Linked DNA regions of Schizosaccharomyces pombe. The protein of the gene in region 2 interacts with the protein of the main gene of each other region in a biochemical or structural test. Each region holds a gene or a part of one and is shown on either strand. Other genes may lie near its edges.

What was found.
Region 1: the proteins of rga7 (region 2) and rng10 form a complex in vitro, tested with the Schizosaccharomyces pombe proteins (one study listed by BioGRID).

The regions. Positions count from the first base shown.
Region 1 is NC_003424.3:3,117,202-3,125,152, reverse strand, and holds rng10 (protein Rng10), read left to right. Parts: upstream 1-2,544; 5' UTR 2,545-2,657; coding exon 2,658-5,774; 3' UTR 5,775-5,934; downstream 5,935-7,951. Other genes in the region: structure-specific endonuclease subunit Slx4, read left to right, coding at 6,153-6,206, 6,291-7,496.
Region 2 is NC_003423.3:2,108,769-2,115,940, reverse strand, and holds rga7 (Rho-type GTPase-activating protein Rga7), read left to right. Parts: upstream 1-2,865; 5' UTR 2,866-3,046; coding exon 3,047-5,134; 3' UTR 5,135-5,456; downstream 5,457-7,172. Other genes in the region: mat1-Mc (M-specific transcription factor Mc), read right to left, coding at 914-1,459; mat1-Mi (M-specific transcription factor Mi), read left to right, coding at 1,594-1,722; cms1 (U3-containing 90S preribosome complex subunit), read left to right, coding at 5,584-5,926, 5,983-6,297, 6,357-6,532.

The DNA of each region.
Region 1 (7,951 bases), on a different chromosome or scaffold from region 2:
TTTTGAGATTCTGTCTTTGGCACAACAGAACATATGAAGAAAAGAGTTTGGCATCTAGTACGAAATAAGATGAAATTTTATAAAGAAAAATTAACGCACAAGACTGAAAACTGAAGTGAACCAAGTTGTCGGCAATAAGCTTAGTCATTACTTGAAACATTGAATAGTGAAATGCAAAAAGCATAACCAGGTAATCCTCATATAACTTTGACATAGGTGTCGATGCTATTTTAACAAGACTCAGGGTAATGATAGCATAATTCTCTTCTTTTTTAAACATGAAAGAGAAATGGTCTTCTTTAAATCGTTTAACGTATTCATCGCAAATTGACCAATCCACAAAGTAATTTCCTTTGGAAAGGATATAATATATTTTGTTCTTCAATTGTTGAGACATGCGAAGAATAGGCAACTGAACAAGAATCTTGCGCTGATCGTCCATGAAAGAAGAATTAAGCATCGATTCCCTCAGGTAACCTAATGAAGCAAGTCTAGCAATATACTTTGAAAAGAAGAAGTATCCACATGCTGCGAGATGATCAAGTAATTGAGCTGCCGCAACACATTCATTGTACTCCAGAGGATGCAATTTTAAAACAAACGACAATGTCAGATCCACAATTAAATTTCTGTCAAAATTGGCGTTGTCAAAAATTGAGGATACGATGAAATTTCGATCACCTGAAAAAATAGAACGGCAATTGATACACCAATGTAGTAAAAGAGGCACACCTGTATAAACTGGTAAAAGTTTAAACAAATCTTTAGCCAGTGTTCTCCAACCCACTGGAAAGGAAAGACATGAAATAATTTGCAAGAAGCGAATACTACTTGTGACAGGTTTGTACATGTACATGGCTTTTGAGTTTCTTTCCTGCATTATAGATAAAAGCGTGCTATAATTTGGAAAATCCTTCCATAATAATATAATAGTAGGTTTCAATTTGTCCCATTCAGTAGGAAAAAAGAACGACTCAATATTTTTTTGAGCCAAGGTAAATAAAAAATGAGATACTTTTTTTGAAAGCAAGCTAAACTTCAAAAGATTAGCAGGCTGGTCCACAATTAACTGTTGATAACTTTGCAGAATTGTGATAACACATTTACGACAAATATGGGTGTACTGGATCAGGCTTGTAGAAAAAAACTGTAAAGCAAAAAAGTGAAGACTAAAGGATTTTAAAGAAGAATCCCCTGAAAAGGAAACAATTCTTAATAGAAAATGTTTAGGCGAAACCAACTCTTCAGCCAGCAATCGACCAAAAAGCTTCAATAGGTAAGTGTAATCATCAGCGAACGAGTAAATATCAGCGTTTAGAAAAGACGAAATGAACGAAATTAAGAATCCCGCTGCAACATCAGTCCAATTTTTAACCCATTCTGTTATATCAGTTGTCTGGACTTTTCGTAAAAATGAACGAGCCTCATTTACTCCAGCGCATCGAATGAACCATATCGCTCGAGTAAAAGGGACTCGAAACTTCACCAACATTCGTAATATATCTTCTCCCCATAGACCATGTGGTATAGTTTTAATAAGAGAAGACAAGGGCACCATGGGATCAGATAAACCCTGCAACCAGCGGTCACGTCTAGACTCAGAAAGTGTAACTCTTGGTGGAGGACGAAACGGAGCGAATGGCTCATCAATTACTGCATCATTTTGCCGACCGAGCAAAGTAGAAGAATATCGTTTTAAATTTTCTAGAGTGCTTGATTTTTCAAGATGTTGTTGTAACAAACCCTGAGCAGATGCTCTATCACTTCGCACAGGTGGTGAATACCTGTGGCCTTTGGAAATAGCATCTCCTGCCAAAAAAGGAGCTCCGTCGACTGTCTCATCACGAAAATTTTTATCTGGAGCAGAAACTTTGCTTTGAAGTAATGTTAAGTACTCATCGTGTGAACTGGTCGAAGAATCAATATAGCAAATAGCTAAGGGCACCGCGTCATTAAAGCCTGGAGGGTTTGCTGAATCTCGATTGCTCATAAAGGATCAGAAAACACCTTTTTTGGAGCAACATATAAATATTAGTCAGATATTAAAAAAAAAAATGATTAGAGCTGGTAACAGAATGTTGTGGAAGTCCTTAAGCCAAGTTGGATTAGCAAATTAGATCCTTCTTCAAGAAACGTTTTCCAATTAAAGTTATTAAGAATCTAAGAGTAATGAAAAATTAAACAAGTTGGTTTTGAAACACAATGATTAGGTAAATTGTATTAATTGGCCTGTTGAAGTTAGCAATCATAAATTTCCACTTTTGTAAATACTAATATGTTAAATTTGAAGATTGATGTATTTGTTCATCATTCCTATTAGCTGATTAGATATTAAAAGTACTTTGATTTCTTCAACAAACGCTTCTAGGATTACGCGTAAGCCACATCAAAAACAATGAATATCTGCTACATTCTGAAAAGGTGTTTGCTTACAATTTTTGTGCTTAAAACAATAAATAACCTACAAGCTTGTGCTTGTTAACGTATGGGGCTGGCGAAGTCAATGTTATGCAGTGACTATGTGGTAGTCAGCAATCTACTACTATCCCTTCACCTCCAACTTTACGCATGAACAATAGTACATCAATAACGGTTTTATAAGTAAACAAAAAGCGAATTTTAGTCCATGACTATATATTTGAAAACTTAATAGGTCAATGGAAGAAAATACGGCTCAAAAGCAAAGTAATGCCACAGGCTTGCAACGACACGTATCAGGAAGATGGATTTCCAATGTTCCAAGTTATGAAGGTAATGAATGGAGTAGTGAAGAATCTGAGAGTGAGGATAAGGAAAGTAATCTCACCAGTAGTGAGAATATCGGAAAGAATCCCGAAAGGGAATTAAATTCTGACGGAACCGATCGCATTATAGAAGAAGAGGAGGAAGAGGATGATATTGAAAACGAGGCAAGTAGCTTTAGCGAGCAAAGTGAGAACGAGAATTATGACTTTTCATACCCTGGCACTTTTGTTTACCGAAAAGCAGCATCTAGTAGCCATGAGACGCTTGCTACTAAGGTTGTCTCCGCTGATGAAAGTGCACGGTTATGGGCCGAAAAGAGGAGATTTCTTTTACAGAAATTAGGAAAAGATCCAAATTCTAAGCCGATTGATTACAAATCTTCCATGGCATCTTCTAGCACCCGTTCATCTCAATCATCACAAGTTTCAGCCATTCAACCTCAAAGTCAAGATGATAATAGGGTCTCGGATATTCGACAAATGGAAAATCGAAGAGAGTTAAATGTAAAGAGGAGATCTGTTTCAAGTCCAGCAGAGGATCTTGCTATCCGTCCTTTAAGTTTCTCTAGGTATAAAAAGGCTGAAGAAATACCCGAGTCTTTACCTCCTATCAAGGGTAGAGATAGTTTTTCAAGTGTCAGAGAGCTCAATGAATCAAACGTATTTGCTCGTGCTCCAAATAAGAACCGATTCTCATTTGCTTCAGTTGCAGAGACTGGTAGTGGCTCCAATTTTTCCAGGGCTACCTCTTCCAGAAGTTCAAAAACTCGTAGCGTCGTATATGAACCTAATCATAGGCATACCAGCTTCTTTGGGGACACGCTTAGTAACCTATCTTCCTCGTTGAACGATAAGAAATCTCCTAATGACGATCATGCAGTACTAGATAGCGAATTAATGGAGCAAACTTTGCCGGACTCTGCCGAGGCGGTAGAAATTGCTAATAATGTGAAAGAAGATATTGTTTCTACCGCTAACGATGATGCCAATGAATTGGATAATACGAGTGAAAAAGCTACTTTGGAAACTAGTTCAAAGCCTGTTACGGAACAAGCAATTGAGCAATCTGAGGTTGTTCAAGAAGTCGAGGAGGGAGATACGAACATGACTACTAATACAATTTTGAAACCAACTGACGAAATTATTAATAAGGGTTATGCGTATTCTATAACAAGCTCACACTCGAATCATTCAAATGAGAAGTTTGAACAAATACCTAGTCCTGATGAAAAGCTTTCTCGAACAGATATTGACACTCATGTCAAGCAATTACAAACTACTAAGTCAACTGATAGCTTGTCTATTCCATTTGTTGAGTCTCCGCAGCAAAACCCAGAGGAAGAACTTTCGGACTCACTATCTAACGATTTTGGAATCGATGCTGAAAAGGAGAAGGATGAAAACCTCTCAAAACCGGAGCATCATCCATCTATAACTTCTGTAAATTCACCATTTCTTTATTCTCCTAGTAAGCAGCCCTCAGGTGAGTTGGATGAAGAAAATCTTAAACTACGATTACAAGATTCAGATGTGGATGATGAGGTAGCCACAATTCGTTCACTTAAACAAAATAATGCTACCAATTCGGAGGTTGAGACAGTTACGAACGATCCTTCTTTCTCCCAACAACCGGGTACTCATAGTCGTATTTTGCGAAATTTTGATGCTATCAGCTCTATCGATTCAATACCTGATAGCTTTTCTGACAGCGCTGTCGATTTGCCTGTCGATTCGTCAAAATATACCCTTGTTGGAAAAACTCAAAGTAATTCCAATCTACTTCAGGACAATGCTGAGAAACATATTTCAAAATCGAACCTTGAAAAAGTTGATGTGAAAGGAGATACATCACCCAATTCTGTCGAGCAAGGGATTGAACCTCAAGCTGCTTCTGTTGTTGGATCTCCACGCTCTTCTTTGGTTTCTAACAACTCCCTAGAGGAAGGAGCACTATTGAAAAACTCAGAAAGCTTGGAAAGTATCTATGGTTATCTTTCGGAGGAGCCCGATCCAGCTCTTACCAAGTTGAATACCGAAGACCCTTTTTGGACTAAGGGGTCATCTGACGATGAACATACAATAGCCTCTGTAGAACAAGACGTATATCCATATAAAACTAGTCTTCCAACTATTGTTGAAGCGACTACTTCTCACACTGAGTCAAGTAACTCAAAGGCTCCCGCAATTGAAGAAACGACAACTACAAAGGTCGAAGTGGTAGCTGCTCACGATGCAGTTTCAATATCCAGTAATTCCAGTACACATAAGTCTCACTCTGAACCATTAAATAGAGATGAGTTAGAAGTTGCTGCCTTAAGCCGTGGATCCTTGCCAGAACCTCCAAAACCCAACAAGCAAATAGTCGTTCAGGAAGAGGATCAACGAGACACACTATCTCTAAAGACAAGCACGACAGGTTTATCTTCTCATTCTAAAAGTGCTGAAAATAATTCAACTCAGCAGTCGACCACTTCTCCTAGCATTAACTCCGGTGCTTCAGCGGATGCTGTTTCTTCTGGAATTTCCAAAAAGGCTGATAATAGTGAAACTAATTTAAATTACTTTGCTACCTTAGATGCGTTTGTCAAGAGTCCATTGATGTCGTTCGATGGATTGGGTGAATTAGGTTCTACCGATCAACGTTACAACTTTTTCAATCAAAAGATTCAAGAATATTCAGCATACGATTCGGGCCTTGATAATTGGATTCAGTTTTGCTTAGAAAAAGATGGTGAGGCTCCAAAGGAAGCTCCTCCTCCTCCTCGTTCTGAGCCAGTTTCAACTACAACCAAACTTGCCAAAAGAATTACGCAGCCTTCGTTGAGTCCTGCAAGGTCAACTGTTACTATAACTCACAACATTGCTACTGAAGCAAAAAAGAAGTCTAAATCTGCTGCTAATGATATTTTACATTTGTTTAAGAAGAAAGCAAAAAGTGAACAATCAAACGCCAAGTCGTCATCTAGCTCTATCAAAGAATCCAAAAAGATGAAAACTCTTTTCGGAAAAAAATTGGGATTCAAATCATAAATCTTTTGCATACACTTTTTACCTAACTTTTTTCTCTCTTTTGTAATTTTCTAATTTATGTATTGTTTACGAAGCATTGCATTTCAATCAATAAGATTTTATCTAAATATTGTTTCATTTTCGTATTGCGCATTTTTGTGAAACCATTTAGTTATTTTTATCAGACGATGAGTTAAAATATCAAGCATATTCTGGTTTTGCTGCCACTTGTCTAAACCAAAATAAGAAACTGGACGAAAAACTTTCGACAAATTCAGGCTAGTACACAAAACAAAACAATCGAAATTAAATATTCATCATTTTTTGGGATATTCTTTCGTTTTCTTGGTGTTTTAGGATTCTGAGTACGCTGCTTTCAAGCTAAGTTTCATTAAATGGATGTCGGCTGAAGAATACATTGAGGTATCATCTTCTCCTGATATATTCACGGACGTATGAAAAAAATATGATATTCTATAGCAAATGATTAGAAATATTACATTGAACTGAAGTAAATGTATATTAACTGAGCTTTAGGATGATGACATGATAACAATAGAGCCAGAGCTAAACAAAAACCCTAAAGATTGTAATAGTAAACGAAAAAGATCTGTTACTGAATGTTGTGAAATTAGGCTGATAACTTCTAAATGTGATTTTGAGTCTACTCAACAGCTTGTGCATCACAATTGTACGGGACATAAGGTTCATGAGCACAACTTAAACGCTGTGGATGAAGAAGATTTTGATACTGAAAATCTCCCTCTTCTTTTTTCTTCCTTTAGCGACAATGAATCAGATATCTTAGAACCCGATCTTAACACTCGGGTAGCTGAAGATAATGATGTCCTTTTATCTAGATACAGCAAAATTAAAAATAGTGCTTCATGCAGAAATACTTTCGAGCACTCTGCATATCACTCAAATAGGGAAGAAATATCTTCTAGTGGTTTTTATTACCATAGGAAGCCTCAATTGTTCGAAAAATCTTTAGAGAAGTTAGGAAATAAATCAATTGAAGCCAACAGGAGTCCTCTTATAAAAGAACTTTGTGAATCGGCTAATTCTACTGAAAACGTTTGTTTTTCTGTTTCCACCGTTGATGAAATTCAGCAAAGGCATCCAAGCGCCGGTCATTCAATAGACTCAACTTGTCAGTCAAACTCGTTTCTTGAAGGCGATAGTGCTACACATAAGAAAAAAAAAACGGACAATATTAAAGAGTTTACTTCATGTGAATTTAATGACCGTAGCAGAACCCTGTTAAACTATGCCGGTTACATGGACACTAACAAAAACGCTGATAATGAAGCTAAATCATTAAAAGAAAAGTTGGAGAATTTTCCGGTTGAAAAATTACGTGCTATAGCGGAAAGTTATGGCTTCAAATCATCAGATTCGAAAGCAACTCTCATTAAGATAGTAGAATCTTGTTTGGATGCAATCGATAGCCGATCTCAGTCTAAAAAATTAGGCAAAGAAACTCCCCATGATTATTTGATAACTTCTACTAAAACAGTATTGGAGTTTGATGATATAGTGACACAGACTCATAGAGCAATTTCGCAAGTTGTTAAGCAAGCCAAAGACAATAGTGTGTGGATTAAAATTCTTACGTATTCTGCTATTGATGTGGAAGAATTTCAACTTTGGCTGAAGCGGAAAAATTTAAATGTTTCGCTAGATCTTATAAAGTCTTGGTGCGATAAGTATGGAGTACTCATGAAAGGGAGTTGGCATTAGCTAGCTAATCAGTGATTTTTGAGTGAAAATTGATGGTTTTTAAAGCAAAACAATATCATTTTTACAAAAAGATTTTGGATTTTTGAGCATCAAAATTAACAGCAAACAACCCAGCTTTAGATTTAAGTCAATTCAAGTCCTGTTTTAGATAAGAATCGTCCTTTGCAGCAGTGCTGAGGAAAAATCAAGATATCTTTTATGTGTTATAACGAGTAACATATATTATTGGAATCAAAAACTAATCATTATATCTTGCTTGGTCTTTGGAAACAGTTTGAACTGTTTGAGATAGCTTGTCTATGAACTATTTTGGAATATTCGGTATACAAATTTAGTACTATAACTTTTTTGTTAACACCACGTTTTACAAGGCAGTATACGTTGTTAACTATGAAAAAACCGTAACTCCAATTTATGTAAAATATGGCTTCTGTATTGTGATATTCAACCACTGA
Region 2 (7,172 bases):
ACATGTTGGGTCCTGTATGGAGATAGGAGTGTGATTGAAGGTGTGTGAGTAAGGGGAGTACTGTGCAAGGCAATGGTAGCAGTAGTGTGTGGAAGTAAAGCATATTAAAGTGATTTATAAAGAATGCTCTATGGTTGAGGAAGTGGAACGTAAGATATTAAAGGAATAGGGATGTGAATGTAAAGAGTGGGTAGATGCATTTGGGATGAGGTTTAATATATGTTTATAAAGGAAAATGGCTAATGGATATGAAGTATTGGTGTAAGGAGTTCAAGATGTATGGGGAGAAAGAGGATGGTTGATGGAGTGGTTGAGCGAGGAAAGTGTTGAAGTATAGTGTGTATGGTAGGAATGAGTAATGAGATGTAGTGAAAGTATAATATTAGTGAGTATATTATGGTAGGGAGTGCGTAGCGTAGCGAAGCAAATATCTCGTTAGAGGGAAGGGGAAGGTAGAAGGGCGCACACAAAAAGGGAAAATTGGAGGGAGAATGAATGACACGAACAGCATAATTGGAAACATGGAAACGAACGAGAGAAAACAAAGGAGAAAGACTATACATTTATATTACAAAAAAATTATTGAAAATAAATAAAAACGAATAAAAAAAACAGCATATTTCGATAGAATCAGGGCAGTAAAATCCATGTATTACTTTATGTAAGGAGATTTTAGGAAGCATCACCCTCTAAAACAGTATGGCATTACAGTGCTTAGAACTACGTTATGTTAGCATAACAGATATAAATCGCAATACATCGTTAATAGAACACACAATAATTACTATAGAATAACTCAACGCAAATGGGGTACACAAAATATTACATTATAATCTTCAGTGAATGTAACTCTAAGAAGCATATTTAAATCAATTTCAAAATTCTTTATTAAATACCATAAATATTACCATTATTATCTTTTAACTTTATTCTTTCTAGGCTGGTACTTATAACCAGGGTACATTTTCTGATGTTGTGCTTTATAAAACTCAGACATCTTAAAATATCGCATACGTACTTCCTTTGATTCGTTTCTCCACATCTCTCCAACCAGCTTGGAAACTTGTGAATTATTGATGGAAGGGTTAGACTTTAATAATGTAGCATGTTTTTCCTTCCTGTATAATATAAAAGCATTAGGGGGTCTCGGAGTACGTTCAGTAGACGTAGTGTCTTTCCGTAAACTCTTCAAAATATAGCCGGGAACTTTACATTGATCCAATGTGAAGGATATTGGTTGAGGTCTTGGCAGTTGTGCAGAATTCCCATCCAACAGGTAGCTTTGTGAGTTAGGAATGAGTATAGGAGTAAAGCCATCAGGAACAAAGTAAGCAGCACCTTTGCCAGTTTCAATTGAATGAAGAGCATCCTTTGTAAGGTATCTTTTAAAACACCAGTCTGGATCTAAAAAGTCGTAGGAAATAGGGGAACCCGCTGATAATTCTTGGTGTGAGTCCATTGTAGTTGTGAGTGCAAGGTAGGTGTAGAGTGTGGAGGGTATTTAACTACTTACAGAACAAAGAAACCCAAAAACAAAGGAACAAAATACACTAAAACACAATAATTTAATCTAAAGCACAATACATACTAATAATGTCAGCAGAAGACCTTTTTACAATTCAAATCCTATGTGATCAAATTGAGTTAAAACTTGCATCCATTGTAATAAATTCTAACATCAAATTACAACTTAAACGTAAAAAAAAGACACAACAATTATAAACTACATATAAGCAGGGTTCAGTAAATTGGGAAGGCGTTTCTGGCTATTAGGTTGTATGGCTATTAAATTAAAGGTTGTATGCTATACAAATGCATATGCATATGCATACAGAAAAATACTACCTCTTCCAATATTTTTCCTTCAACTACTCTCTCTTCTTTTCCTACCCTTCTTCTCACTCTCTTTTCCTTTCACGGCTAACCCACTATTTTCTCTCCTTTCTCTTTCTTTGTTCCTACCCAAACAAAGAAATAGTTACCATAGCTACTACAACAAAGCAAGCACTCATCCCACTTAATGTGGGGTCCCCTAAAGAATTCCCGTCTAATGAGAATTAGGAACGTTTCATTGTCAAGTTCGTTATTAAGTTATTTAAGAAAATATAATACTGATTAAAAATATATCGGTATAACAAATACAAAAATTAAACAGTCGCAATAAAACATGTTGACAAACCTGTAGTCATAGAATAAACATAATGTTATTATATTAACAGTAGGCTCTAAGGATTTATTATTGTTTTTACATATTCGTTCATGACAAAAAAAGTATTACAAACAACTTGCAATAGAATAATCCTACTTATTTGTTCTTTTCATTCACCTAATCCTCTCCCCCATTTGGAAAGGGTATGGCATTTTACTCGAATAACGCAACCAACTTTCTGTCTCCTTATTTTGCTATCCCCCACTTAGAAAGGGTATGACACTTTTCCTTAAATAACACAATCAACTCTTTCTCCTTATACCCTTCTTCCCCTTACCGCCTTCCTACTCACCTCAGTCTTTACCCCCACGTATCTCTACCTCCCACTTGGAAAGGGTATGACACTTACCTCGAATACCACAGTCAACTCTTCCTTCCTTTTCAACCCTCCCTCACTATACTTCATCCCACTTAAAAAGGGTATGGCAGAAACGTTATACAACGCAATTTGTATTTTATTCTTTTCCTTTACCTTCCTATCTTAAACTCATTTTCATCCCCCACACTCAACCTCCCAATTCCAAACTTTTAGCTTCGTTACATCTCCGTAATTTGAACTACTCATACCTCCTTAATCCTCTTTATCTCTTCCTCTACCGTCCTCTCCTTACCCTTTCCTCGTTTACATCCTCTATACTCGCTATACTACTCAAACCAACCACCCACTACCAATTCCTTACAAACAAAGAATTCACCCTTCTTTCCTCTATCATTCTTTGCTTGCTCAAGTGATTTTATATATTTTCGCGTTTACCGCGCTTCTTTTGTTATTTTTACTCTTTCTATTCTCTCACTCTATTTACTTCTCTTGCTCCCGCCCATCACTCAACTCCTTCAATGCTGTCGGCTCCCTCCTCCTCTACCACTCCCGCTTCCCCACCAACATCGCCTCCAAATACCACTTCCTCTGATGATTTCGCAGTTCTCAAAGAACCAAAAGTCGAAGCGATCCTCAATTCGGAACTTGGTCTAGCAATCCTAAATGATCGCATTAAAGACTACCTCCTCACTTGCAAAGAACTCGCCGGATTCTTTAAAAAGCGTTCCATTCTCGAAGAAGAAAGTGGAAAAAATTTACAAAAACTTGCTAAATCCTACCTAGAGACGTTTCAATCCAAACACCACTCTCCCCAATCTTTTTCCGCCTCTGTCATTACGAGTATGGAAATTCATGAACAACTTGCCAATCACAGTTTAACCCTTCAAAAAACTCTTTCTGCATTTTCCGATCAAGTCATCGAATTTCACAAAAACGCAGAACGCAAACGAAAATCCATCAAGGAATATGCGAAAAAACAAGAAAACGCATATTTAGAAGCCGTTATGCAAATGGATAAATCCAAATCTCGCTTTAAGGGTGCCGAAACCGAGTACAACCGCGCTCTCGACAACAAAAACACTGGAGACTCCCAGAAGAAGGTTGGTTTTTTTAAACCAAAATCTAATGCTCAGCTCACCAAACTCGAAGATGAAGCTCGCCTTAAGGCCGAAAATGCAGAATCAGATATGCACAGTAAGATTGAAAACGCTCAAAACGTTCAAAAACAACTTTTGTGTATTCACCGACCAAACTACATAAAGCAATTCTTTTCCCTTCAACGCGAAATTGAAAGCTCACTCATTGCAAACTATCTACGGTACACAAAGCTCTGCGAGTCAAACACCCTGCTCAACGGTCTCACAATCCGTCCACAAAAGCCCACTCCTACCAACTGTGGTTTACAACATGCTTTGGATAATATAAATGCAAATACCGATTTTGTTCAATACGTCCTTCACGCCTCCATCAAGCATGAAGATAACAAAAATCCAACCGACGCTTCTAAAACAAAAATCATTCAACCTCCAAGCTCTTACGGAACTGGTTCCTCTGCCGGAAAAACCAATCCACCCGTCAACCCCACCATCAAGGTTACTGCTGCTATTCCCTCTCCCCTACAAAACACTAATCCTGCTCCATCCACTTTTCCCAACCCTTCTGTGGCTTCCCCTGCCTTCCCAAACTCATCTACTTCCAATCCCTCTACTGCTCCCGCTTCAGCCTCTCCTTTGGCTTCTACCCTAAAACCTAGTACCGCCAATGACACAAACGGTTCTTCTTCATCCTCTTCTTCCAATCCTCGTACCTCTTCTCCACTCGCTTCTAATGCAGAAAACAAGCCCCCTGTTGCCCAACAATCACCTCCCGTACTACTTCCTACTTTACCTCCCATCCAGACGACAACGATTCAAACGTCTCGAGAAGTCGCACCACCGCCTTCTAGCATCAACTCAAACCGTGCTGCATCTCCCTTCCGACCAACTTCTGTCTCCCCTCAACCTTCCTCTCCTACGAAATCGTTACTCTTTGGTGCTCGATTAGACGCAATCATTCTACGAGAACATTCCAACATTCCAAACATCGTAATGCAATGCACTTCCCAAGTCGAAAATTTTGGTCTCAACCTCCAGGGCATCTACCGTGTTCCCAGCTCTTCCGCCCGTGTCAACATGTTACGTTCTCAATTTGAGAATAATCCTCTCTTACAATTACATACACCTGAGGACTATGAAAACGACGTTCATGCAGTCGCTGATCTACTAAAAATCTTTTTCCGTGAACTACGTGAACCGTTAATTCCCGACAATCATCAAAGAGACTTTATCGACGCAGGTAACGTTGAAGACGAATCCAGAAGAAGAGATGCCGTCCATCGTGCGATCAACGATCTTCCCGATGCCAACTACTCTACCATTCGTCATTTAACCATACATCTTGCTAAAATTAAAGAAAACAGCGATGTAAACAAAATGTCGACAAACAATTTGGCCATTATTTGGGGACCTACTATCATTAAGCAAGCTACTATCCCAGAAATTAGCAGTTTCTCTAGAACTATCGAAATTCTTATCGACTATTGTTTCACAATTTTTGACTACGATTAAAAGATCATTTTCTGTATTATTTACTGCTTACCATCTTTTTTTTCTCTTTTTATATTTTTTTCCTTTGCGTCAATAAAGCACACTTGACACTATTCTCTCTTTCTTGGATTTTGTATGCTTCCACCTCTTTCCCCTTTTTATCCCTTTCCTTACCTTGTTTTTATCCTAAACTTTTGTTTGTCTACAAATTCATTCTTTTCTTTACTGTCAATTCCGTTCACAATTTTAATCCATAGTTTAGACAACCTTCATAACGTAATAATGGAAATTATCTACGATTTTATAAACCAAATGAATTCCTTTTATTTTTTTTTCTTCTATATAGACCTTCAAATACTCTATATTTTTGTAAACGATAGATTTATATTTTTTTTTACATTTTTCCTGTACTATTCGACGGTCCACGAACTGAACGTATCCCTAACACCAAAATTTTAAAACATGCAATTATGAGCTACACGACAACAGACGCTGATGCTTTGGATGATCAACTTGATTATCAGGTAGATTTAGTTTCAGAAATTTCAGTTTCGGATGAAGAATCTGCACAACCTACTACAATAACTGAAAATTTTACTGCTTCTCAAAACAACGATTCAGCGAAACGTGAAAAAAGAAAAAAACAACGCCAAAAACAAAAGGAAAGGAAAAGAGCTAAATTGTTAGAACTACAAGACACAAACGCTTCAATCATCCAGAGTCCAGACACGCTGTCCGATTTGTTAAATAATTACATAAAAAGCATTTATAGTGATCTTACCGATGTAGAATTGTCAGATAAAGTGATTAAAGGTATAATTGCTTATTATTCTTTTTTTTTTTACTTCACTTTACTAACTCACTATAAGCATCTTACATTGAAGATACGATCAGCTTCAGCAAACCTAAAACAGTAGACAATTATCCAGAATACATTCAACATCTTCCCGGTTTTACTAAAAAAGTTGTTCAAAACAGTAATCCTGAGATTCTTGTCCTATGCATATCTGCATTACGTGCCATCGACGTTTTGAAACCAACGAAATCATTACAAAACAAAAATTTCAAAGTTGCAAAGCTTTTCGGAAAACATATTCGATTAGAGGAACACATAAATTATTGTAAAGCAAACAAAATAGGTGTTGGTATAGGAACTACTCCTAGAATTGCCCAATTGACTAACGGTACGTATTGCCTTAAATCTTTTGGTTTATGATTTTCCTTAAAATACTAACATTTTTAGAATGTTTTACTTGCGAAAATTTAAAATACATTATACTAGATTACTCATTTCGTGACATAAAAAATAACAGCATTCTTACGAGTAAAGAATCACGAAAAGCAGTAATCGATTTCCTAACTAGCAAAACTATTCTCGAAAATATGGCTGAAAGGAAAACCAAAATATGTTTCTACTAACATTAACAAAAAGAGTTCTGGCTTTCGGGGGTTCTGTGATTGTTTTAATACACAAGTTTTGTCTTCGTAAATATATTACACATTTTAGTATCATTGACTTTACTAAATCATTAAAATAAGTGGTAAACACGTTGTAAAATTATTTTATCCATCAACCACTTACTTAACATCAAGTAAGTATCAAAAAAAGCATTTAATATGAAAAGCTAATCATACAACCACAATTAAAGCAATTCAAGTAGCTTCAATTACAAACATTGTACCTTTATACATATAATGATAAACCTTTCGTCGATAACGCACACTAAAGTTATTAACGTATTTCGGATTCGTAAACAAATCTAAAAGTAACAGTGTACTAAGCAGTATAACGGGCCACAAAGTGACCAAACTCATCTATTATCGGTATCTTCACATACTTCATTTCTTTACCATCACCCATAATAAACGACATTTACAGATCCTTTCTCCAATTATCATTTTTTTAATTAAAGCATCTAAGATTTCATCATTTTAAATTAAAAAAGTTTATTAACTTAATTGAAACCATACGCTAGAATGCTACTAAAAACATAAACACCAAGATCTGCTTTATTGAACTCTTCATGACTTTATTTTAATAATGTTTTTTGCATTTCTC